Linked DNA regions of Saccharomyces cerevisiae S288C. The gene in region 2 interacts genetically with the main gene of each other region. Each region holds a gene or a part of one and is shown on either strand. Other genes may lie near its edges.

Region 1 (4,979 bases), on a different chromosome or scaffold from region 2:
TTTTTGATGGGCAAGAGGGTTGGAGTTTGTTTGTCAAGACGTGGTCAACAAACAGTAGCTGTGATATTACAGCCTCTGAAGGAAATTTAACATGTGCAGTTCGTGTTTCAGTATCCAGTATGCACAATCACGGCAAGACAGCGTTTTGTGTTACCTATAGCCACGGTGATTCTTGGCGTGCCGAGCTGAGAGTAGTTGCCAATGATGCTTGGTCCCATTATTATCCCTGGAGTATTGACTGTCCAGAAGTTGATAAAAATAATATGGCTATTAATGATTGTTTTGATCAGGCGCAAGGTTAACGATTGAGTTTCCCATAATTTTTACCGCTCTCCTCTTGGTTGAGACGTATGCGAAAAGCTAATTCGACGTTTTTTATTGTAAAATCGTACACTTTTGCAGGCAATTCTACATATTATATAAGATTTAAGTCGGATCTTGAGACTTTTGGTGAACTTTGAGATGATTGTTGGGATTCCGTTGTTGATAAAGGCAATAATATTATGTATACAGAATATACTAGAAGTTCTCCTCGAGGATATTAGAATCCTTACAATGGACTTGATATTTCTACATAAAAATATTACGATTATTCCTCATTCTGTTTTTTATGTTTCACCATCCAACAGATCTAAACTCATTTCTTCAGGTATTTATAACTTTGATTGGTTCATCTTAGGCATACTCAATCTTACCTTTTTCATGCGTGTAGGAACGAAACTCTAAAATCATCTACGGGTTAAAATTGCTTATACGGAGGTACCCCGTGTTGAGATCCAACACATACAGAAATTCTGGGCACATGGCGCAGTTGGTAGCGCGCTTCCCTTGCAAGGAAGAGGTCATCGGTTCGATTCCGGTTGCGTCCAATGAAATCTTTTTGTACCAAGTTTTTCTCTGTTTTTGTTAGACCGCAAGCGAGTTTACCGAATCACAGCCCACCTCACCCCACAGGAAAACAGCAGCAGAACGGCTGCTAAATGACTATTAACAATAAGAGGTTTTCGGCTACTTTCGCTGCTTGCTCGTTAAATCCGTTCACTGGTAGCGAACCTCAACGACAGATGTCTATGTATGCTATACGTAAAATCACCCCCATTATGGCCATTTTATGTGTCGCCACTGCTACACACCCACCGATGTGTATGTACTTCTAATATCTAACCAGACCAGACCCCACGCTTTTTCTGGCATCTCCTGCTGCCATCTTGGTGTAGTGAGCGGAAACTTTAAACATTAAACAGAATGGCGGCGACTTTGAGATTTGGGCCCGCTGACGCTGAACGAAAAGAAAAGACCTTCATGAAAAAAATATTTTGCGGCAAAACGTCATCGGAGAACACAGCGCAGCGAGAATGTGGTGTTAGCCAGACCCAACAGTTTGCGCACCTGGCATGGATGGATGCAGATAGGTAGTGTTCGATGCGCAAGAGTCCAATCTTCTCCTCGCCATTTGCACCGGCGGATGTAACACTATATTTTCATTGACCTTAGCGGTTTTCTTTCTTTGACATGTAACATCATCACTTCAAGCACAAACAAAGAACTGTATACACAGACCACAAACTTGCATATTATTCTAACATCGGTGTTATAATAGCGTAGGTGCTCTTATCACTGCAAAGTTCATAGAAAATCCGTATTGTATCTCCCTTCTCCATCAGCAACACAGATCTACTTATCATATAGAACATGAAGGACAGTGTAGACTGCCCAAGCATTCTACCCACCGACCGCACTTCAGTGCTTTCCGAGACTAGCACTTTGGTCGGATCGAGTTCGCATGTATATTCGAGGCATGCTCCTATGAACAGTTATCATAACAGCATGAACAGCAACATATACCACAGCCCCAAAGCCAGTAGCCCTTTGGTGAGCTATAAGACATCTTCGCCGGTGTTATTGAAGAGGGCGACCGCTCCTGTCCTGCCAAGCTTCAAGCCCAAGGAACAGCGATATAATAAGCCGCAGGGTTGTTCGCTAATTACTGCTGTAGAACTGGGCAAGATTATTGAAACCTTACCAGATGAAAAGGTGCTCTTACTTGATGTTAGGCCGTTTACCGAACATGCCAAATCCATTATCACAAACTCCATTCATGTATGTTTGCCTTCCACGCTGCTGAGGAGGAAAAATTTCACCTTTTCCAAACTCTTGGACAACTTAACTCCTAGCGAGCAAAGCGTGTTGAAATCTAAACTGGCCATCGATAACCTTCGGATTATCATTTATGATAGCACCGCAAATCAAACGGAAAGTTCTGTTTCTTTACCTTGTTATGGAATAGCGTCCAAGCTAATAGAGTTTGATACTAATGTTAAAAAAACCGTGTCTATACTAATGTGTGGTTTTCCTCAATTCAAAATTCTATTTCCAGACCATATAAACACCAACACATTTAACTCAGATTGCATTAGTTCGGCTGAACCTAAAAGCCCCAAGACAAACCTTATGAACAGTCTACACAACACAGCGCCGCATATGACGGCGACAACACCACTATCGTCTCCGCAAATGAACCTTAAGTTGAAAGTTCCTGACGATAGTAGGTCAGATCATTCAAACTTTTCCAGTTCTCCCTCTCCGCGTAACGTCCTATCAGATTCTCCCATGTCTTCTTCTTCCCCCATATCTGCCTTATTTAAGTTCCAGCTGCCTGCACCACAAACAAACATAAACCAAATGTTCAAATTTTCGCAAAATGAAGAAATAATGGGTTTAGAGACGTATTTGAGTGCAGTCAACATCAAAGAAGAACATGAAAGATGGTATAATAACGATTCTGCCAAAAAATCTTTACAAAACTTCCAATTCCCAAAGAACCAAAATTCTCTAGAAAAGGACACTAATAAAGACAAACTAGGGTTTCAGATCAGATACGAAAACCTGAGCAAAAATTACGAAAAGGAGGTCATTGACTCCGTTATACCTGAATGGTTCCAGCATCTGATGTCAATACCCAAGATCGAGTTGGTTTCTCAGTTTCAAAAATTAGATTTTTTGGAAAAAAGGCGCTTGAACCATTCTGTCTCTTTCAGGAAGAAGGAAAACTCGTTTATACTTGAAAAGCCATCATCATATCCTGAACAGTTAACATCAACTTCTTCTTCAACAATCATGCCTCCAAAATTTCCTGACGTGAACAAAGTACAAAAGAGGTCGCATTCTCAGCCAATCTTCACTCAATACAGTAAATATAAATCGATGCTCAGCCTTGAATCAGATTCCGATTCGGAGTCAGATGACGTTATAATATCATCAGGCGTTGAATTAGGAGCCAAGAACAGGTACAAGGATATTTTTCCCTACGAGCATTCGAGAGTGATTCTAAAAAAAGGTTTGCAATCATCAAAAGGTATCAAGCATTCACATTCTACTTCCGATGGTGGCATCCTCGACAATTATATCAACGCAAACTATTTGTCTCTGCCAAGGTTTTCTGTAGAGCAAAATTCGTCATTTCAAACAACTACAACCACAACAAGAAGAGTGCGCTATATAGCGACGCAAGCTCCAATGCCCTCCACTGTACATGACTTTTATACATGCATATTGAATAATGGCGTTCCGTTGGTTCTCTCATTGACAAATGATTTCGAAAATGGCATTGAGAAATGTTATCGATATTGGCAAGAAGGTAATTATAACGGTATTCACGTTAAATTGTTAGAAAAAAAAATATTAAAGATGCCTAGCACTACTAGCATGAGGAAAAATACTATGGGAACACAAAATAGTAGTTTATATTCAGCTGGTGTTCAGGGAAATAGTAGTAACTATAGTACTGATAATGATAATGATAATGACAACAATAATAATAACAATAACAATAGTAATATTGCTGTTACTGCTGCTGCTTGTGATGATGATGATGATGATGATGATGACGCAATTCTCATAAGAAAAATTCTGCTAACATATCATGATCAAGAGAAACCTTATGAATTGTTACAGATTCAGGTGAAAAATTGGCCTGATTTGGGCACTTTACTCAATCCTATCTCAATCTTACAAGCAATCAATGTCAAGAATCACATAATAGATACACTATTTGCCAGAAATTACTATCAAAACGACCAACTTCCTACCATTTTGGTTCATTGTTCCGCAGGTTGTGGAAGGACTGGTACTTTGTGTACCATTGATTCCATTCTATCCAATTTCGAAATGTTTGAAATGTTGCAGAAAGAGTTTGTTAAATTAAAATACCCGGCAAAGTTATTCGATCCAATTTCATGGACAATTAATATTTTTAGAAAGCAACGAATATCCATGGTCCAGAACATTAATCAATTTATTTTCATTTATGACTGCTTGCTATTTTACTTTAGATTACGTCTTGATGACATAACAGAGAGAACGGATGGTGATGGAAGTAACAAGGACAATATATCATTAAGTGCATTAATTGAACAAATCGAAAAATTAGAGATCTTGCAGACATTCGTGGATGATAAGTTGAAAGAATTGCCACAATAGTTAGGCTAATATGAATGTATTTGATCTCTATTTTATTAATACGAAACCCCTTAATAATTGATATTTTCGATACATATTTGGCAGTAGTTAGCTACGTAACAGAGTATTATTTTCATTTCAAGTTATGCATGAACTCTCTAATTTCACATACCATGCTACCACTACCCTTGGAGGTTTTGTTCATATCTTTTATAATAAAGCTAAAACCGAAAAGGTGAAGGGAAAAAAAAACTATTAGAGCCTGTTTCTTGTATATAGTAGTATGTAATATTTGCTTCGTACGCTTAGTTCATCCCAATAGTAATTCATAAACAATCACCAGTATATTTATTCCAATTAATGGTACTACAAGAATAATATACGAAACGTTAGTAAAATTTTCTCACAAAAGGTGAAAAAGAACGGGAAAAAACTGATGAAATGTAACTTTAACCGTTCTCCATCAACATAACATACTCCTCAGTAATGTCTGTACGGCGCCAATCAATTGAACAACCTTG
Region 2 (5,404 bases):
CTGTTGCTTCAGAAGATTTGGGTACCATTGCTTACTACTTCCAAAAGAACAAGCTAGACGGTTTGATTATTCTTGGTGGTTTTGAAGGTTTCAGGTCCTTGAAGCAATTGCGTGACGGTAGAACCCAACACCCAATCTTTAACATTCCAATGTGTTTGATTCCAGCCACTGTTTCTAACAACGTTCCAGGTACTGAATACTCACTTGGTGTTGATACCTGTTTGAACGCATTAGTCAATTACACTGATGACATCAAACAGAGTGCTTCTGCGACAAGAAGAAGAGTCTTCGTCTGTGAAGTCCAAGGTGGTCACTCTGGTTACATCGCTTCTTTCACTGGTTTAATCACTGGTGCTGTTTCAGTGTACACTCCAGAAAAGAAGATCGACTTAGCTTCTATCAGAGAAGATATAACTCTATTAAAAGAGAACTTTCGTCACGACAAAGGTGAAAACAGAAACGGTAAGCTATTGGTTAGAAACGAACAAGCTTCTAGCGTATATAGCACTCAATTGTTGGCTGACATCATCTCTGAAGCAAGCAAGGGTAAGTTTGGTGTTAGAACTGCTATCCCAGGCCATGTTCAACAAGGTGGTGTTCCATCTTCTAAAGACCGTGTCACCGCTTCCAGATTTGCTGTCAAATGTATCAAGTTTATCGAACAATGGAACAAGAAAAATGAAGCTTCTCCAAACACTGACGCTAAGGTTTTGAGATTCAAGTTCGATACTCACGGTGAAAAGGTACCAACTGTTGAGCACGAAGATGACTCTGCTGCTGTTATCTGTGTTAATGGTTCTCACGTTTCCTTCAAGCCAATTGCTAACCTTTGGGAAAACGAAACCAACGTTGAATTAAGAAAGGGTTTTGAAGTTCACTGGGCTGAATACAACAAGATTGGTGACATCCTGTCCGGTAGATTAAAGTTGAGAGCTGAGGTAGCCGCTTTAGCCGCTGAAAACAAATGAATGATTGCAATGAAAAGTTTAAGTTAAGCAAAAGGAGGTAAAAATGGCATGCACTTTAATTTTTATACAATCGTTTTTTTGTCATAAGACTTATTTATGTATCTGTTGTTTTTCTTTTTCTATCCTCTATTTTTGTCTATTTGTCTTTGTTTTACTCTTTTTCATTATTATTTCTTTATATAATTTTTGTACGATATGATACACATAACAATGAGCAATGAACATATTTCTAATCCTAACCATTAGATATACTTTTCAACTGAGGAATAATGGCGCCTTGATTAAACTAAGCTATGGAATTTGCATTATTCAAGTTTTAGGGTGTGCTTAATCTGCGTTGACAATGGTTCACGAAGACGACATCGGCAACTTTGCTGTACTACAAATTGCTCTGAATGTGAGGCTGATCCACATCATAGTGAGGCGCGCTACCTTAATTGTAGTCGTATTGTCATCGGTCTACGAATACCGTTTGGTTTATTTGTCGGCCTTTTTTCTTTCCGTTTCTTTTTATCTTTCCGCTGGAAAAATGGAAACTAGTGCCGATAATCGGAGATGGGATGACTAAATATTTCTTTAAGGCATTGGCAATGTTCAAACCTCTGATAGAACGGCAGATATATATTTAAGAGAATATAGTCAAGGTTGACGCCGCATACTTTGGTTTTGTTTCAAAAAGAAACAGGTGAAAAATTATAAAGACCAAACTAGAATACCATGCCCAGTGTCTGCCATACAAGCCCGATAGAAAAGATTATCCAACAAGGGCATCGCATACAGAATGATTCCTTAATACCGTCAAAACGCACCAAGCTGGCCCATACGGAATTAACAGCACACTATGCCACTGAAGACTCGCATGTGGAAAAACACTTTTTGCATAATGGTAGTAATTTTGACGGCATTGACAATGTAAGGTATCAAAATCAACCCTCTCCATTAACCTTCATTACTCCAAACAACACTGTAGATTCCAGTGATTGGGTTCCGCAGTTCTCGTCTATGAAGATTGACGATTCACTAGAGTTTAGCTCAGAATATAAAAGGTTGTATTCCAATTACGAGTCACAGCAGCGCCTGAATTCAAGCAGACAACACTTACCTTTTAAGAATTGTATGATAAGGAAGACAAGTTGCACTTACCCACCTCAAAAGACGCTTCGACAGCAACGCCAAGGAAACCGGGACAACCCAACGGATGCGTTTCAATTCGACGCGGAGTTCCAAGTTTTGGAGAGAGAAATTCAAAAAGAGCGGTACGAGCCCATAACACGTCGGGACGAGAAATGGTTCGACCAAGATCAGTCGGAACTGCAAAGGATTGCCACAGATATAGTAAAATGCTGTACTCCACCGCCTTCGTCTGCATCCTCCTCTTCTACTCTTTCCTCCTCTGTCGAATCAAAACTATCTGAGTCGAAGTTTATTCAGTTAATGAGAAACATTAGTAGCGGTGACGTGACTTTAAAGAAAAATGCAGATGGAAATTCCGCAAGCGAGTTATTCTCATCCAACAACGGGGAACTGGTCGGAAACAGGCACATTTTCGTCAAGGACGAAATTCACAAAGACATACTTGATTGATATAGGCAGTTTCTACAATTGTACCTCTTGTAACTACTACATACGTTGATATATGTTTACAGATAGCTAAGAATATCAAAATCATGAATATGTGCCCTTATGTGTTCTCTGCGCTGAGGAGTATCGCAGCTTCACTCCTGCAGATGCATGCCCTACCTACTGTCATGCCCATCTCTCTCGTTTAAAACTTACTACACCTTTTTTGTGCATGGATTGTGCTGATGTAAGCTGCACGAAATGACACGCTTGTGAATTTTTTCTTCTCTTGGGAGAAACTGTGAAGAAAAAAAAAAAAGCTTCGCAAAACCCGAATTAGTCTCGAAGGAAGTAATTACCTTGTGAAAGGGTCTTTTGGGATACTAATTTATTATGAAGTTTGGTTTTGGTGTTGCTTGCTCTTTTTTTTTTCAATTTTGAAATGCGTACACGTGAATTTTAGCATAGGTTGTAACAAAAAAAAAAAATGATTTGGATGAGGCAGGCAACCCCTTAAGTAGCTATGGTACCTTTCAAGCTGACAAATAAGGTACCTACGGACACGGGACCTTCTCTGATTTCAGCGCAAAGTGTACCCAGACCAATAGTTTTTATGGATAATCGAAACAATACGCGAATAGTAACACCTACGCTACCTCCAAACCAGCATAGAGGCATATCAGGCGCGTCGACTGCTCTTCCCTGGTCTCCAGAGAGTAAGAATACAGGGAAGTATATTTGGAATAGGGTCAAACTAAAAAACTCTCCGTTTCCCCGTTATCGACACTCTTCCTCATTTATTGTTACGAATGATAACAGGATTTTTGTGACCGGTGGACTTCACGATCAATCGGTATATGGGGATGTCTGGCAAATAGCCGCTAACGCGGATGGTACGAGCTTTACTTCCAAGAGAATCGATATTGATCAAAATACACCTCCCCCAAGAGTGGGACATGCCTCTACTATATGCGGTAATGCCTATGTTGTGTTTGGTGGCGACACACACAAGCTGAATAAGAACGGACTGTTGGATGATGATCTTTATCTTTTCAATATTAATTCTTATAAGTGGACCATACCACAACCTATCGGCCGTAGGCCGTTGGGCAGGTACGGCCATAAAATTTCTATAATTGCTAGCAACCCTATGCAAACTAAACTATATCTTTTTGGCGGACAAGTAGATGAAACTTATTTTAACGATCTGGTCGTCTTTGATTTATCATCATTCCGTAGGCCGAATTCTCATTGGGAATTTTTAGAGCCTGTCGGCGACCTGCCTCCTCCTTTAACAAATCATACAATGGTGGCATATGACAACAAATTATGGGTATTCGGCGGGGAAACTCCCAAGACAATAAGCAATGATACATACCGCTACGATCCAGCACAAAGTGAGTGGTCTAAAGTTAAAACCACAGGAGAAAAGCCTCCGCCAATACAAGAGCATGCTAGTGTGGTGTATAAACATTTAATGTGTGTGTTAGGCGGTAAGGATACCCATAACGCATATTCCAACGATGTCTATTTTTTAAACTTATTATCGCTAAAATGGTATAAGCTTCCCCGTATGAAGGAGGGCATACCTCAAGAACGCTCTGGACATTCTTTAACCTTAATGAAGAATGAGAAGCTTCTTATCATGGGTGGCGACAAAACTGACTATGCCAGCCCAAATATTCACGATCTACAAACTTCAGAAACTGACCAAGGCGAAGGAACTTTACTGTATACCTTAGATTTATCATCTTTGAATGAGCTATGCCCAGGAATAATGTGTGAATCACTACATGCAGGAGAAAGTTTTTCTAATAGTCTTTCCGGGGGCTTTACACCCTCTAAGTCTACCGAAAGTGAAAATCAAGAGATAATAAACATTCTTACACCAAGATTGCCTGATAGCAAAGTTTTGAGTTATAATGATATTGATGAAGGGGCTGGAAGTTACTCCAGCGCTTTGGATGATAAGGCATTTGAACGAAAATCAGATAGGGAGGAAAAGAAACCCCAATCTTCCAAAGTTGATTCAAGCATCAATAAGGAAAGTCCGGGAACTGGTATCAAAGTATCTAAAAAAAATTTCCCTGTTCTACGAGGACTAACAGTGGATTCAGAAGAGTATGGCTCTTCTTCATATAAGGACACATCATGTCAAAAAGGAATTCCCAAAAATCTTTTTGATGATTTAAACCTGAACCTACAAACATTACGTCTCGAAGCTCAACAAAAGGAACTTGAAACTGCTAGACATATTTCACAATTAGAAAAGGAAGTCCAGAGACTCATGGTAATAAAAGAAGCTTCAAAAGATTCAAATTTTCAAACAGCACGGCTTAAAAATCTAGAAATTCAGAAAACCTTTTTAGAATCTAGAATTAATGATTTAAAAAATTTATTGATGGTCAAATTATCTCAGGCAAGTAAACTCTGTGACCAAATTACGATTCAAAATAATGGACTTAAAACATGCTCCGAACATGTCACTATTAAAAGGGATATCATCGATCTTGAGAATAAATGTGATGTTTTGAAGCGCCAGAACGAAATACTTGTAAATAATATGCAAAAAATAACCCCCGAACTTCATACCTATTTGAACGAATCGTCCTGCTATCTGGGTAAATTATTAAAAAGCTATCCTACCAGTGCACGGCCACCTTCAAGTGAGAAAGATAATCAAATATATGAGAAAGATTCGCTGAACAAAATAGAAAAAGTAATAAATGAAATGCACGAAACCGTGCGTGCTAAAGAGAAATTGCACCTTGAAACTCAGAAGCTTAATGATGAAAGAGATTCTTTGCGGGCTAATTTACTCGACAATAACAACAAGTTGGATGCGCTAAGAAAACTCTCTGATGGAAGCTCGAAGT

The links. A genetic interaction does not mean that the proteins touch.
Region 1: mutations in PEX21 (region 2) and PTP3 together harm fitness more than expected from each alone (negative genetic interaction), as found in Saccharomyces cerevisiae (2 studies listed by BioGRID).

What each region holds. Positions count from the first base shown.
Region 1 is NC_001137.3:307,913-312,891, reverse strand, and holds PTP3 (tyrosine protein phosphatase PTP3), read left to right. Parts: upstream 1-1,692; coding exon 1,693-4,479; downstream 4,480-4,979. Other genes in the region: YER076C (uncharacterized protein), read left to right, coding at 1-302; YOS1 (Yos1p), read right to left, coding at 4,769-4,824, 4,936-4,979. UniProt on the Saccharomyces cerevisiae protein: Major phosphatase responsible for tyrosine dephosphorylation of MAP kinases FUS3 and HOG1 to inactivate their activity; it also has important roles, along with MSG5, in the inactivation of FUS3 following pheromone stimulation.
Region 2 is NC_001139.9:966,335-971,738, reverse strand, and holds PEX21 (Pex21p), read left to right. Parts: upstream 1-1,685; coding exon 1,686-2,552; downstream 2,553-5,404. Other genes in the region: PFK1 (6-phosphofructokinase subunit alpha), read left to right, coding at 1-968; KEL2 (Kel2p), read left to right, coding at 3,052-5,404. UniProt on the Saccharomyces cerevisiae protein: Receptor that mediates peroxisomal import of proteins containing a C-terminal PTS2-type peroxisomal targeting signal via its interaction with PEX7.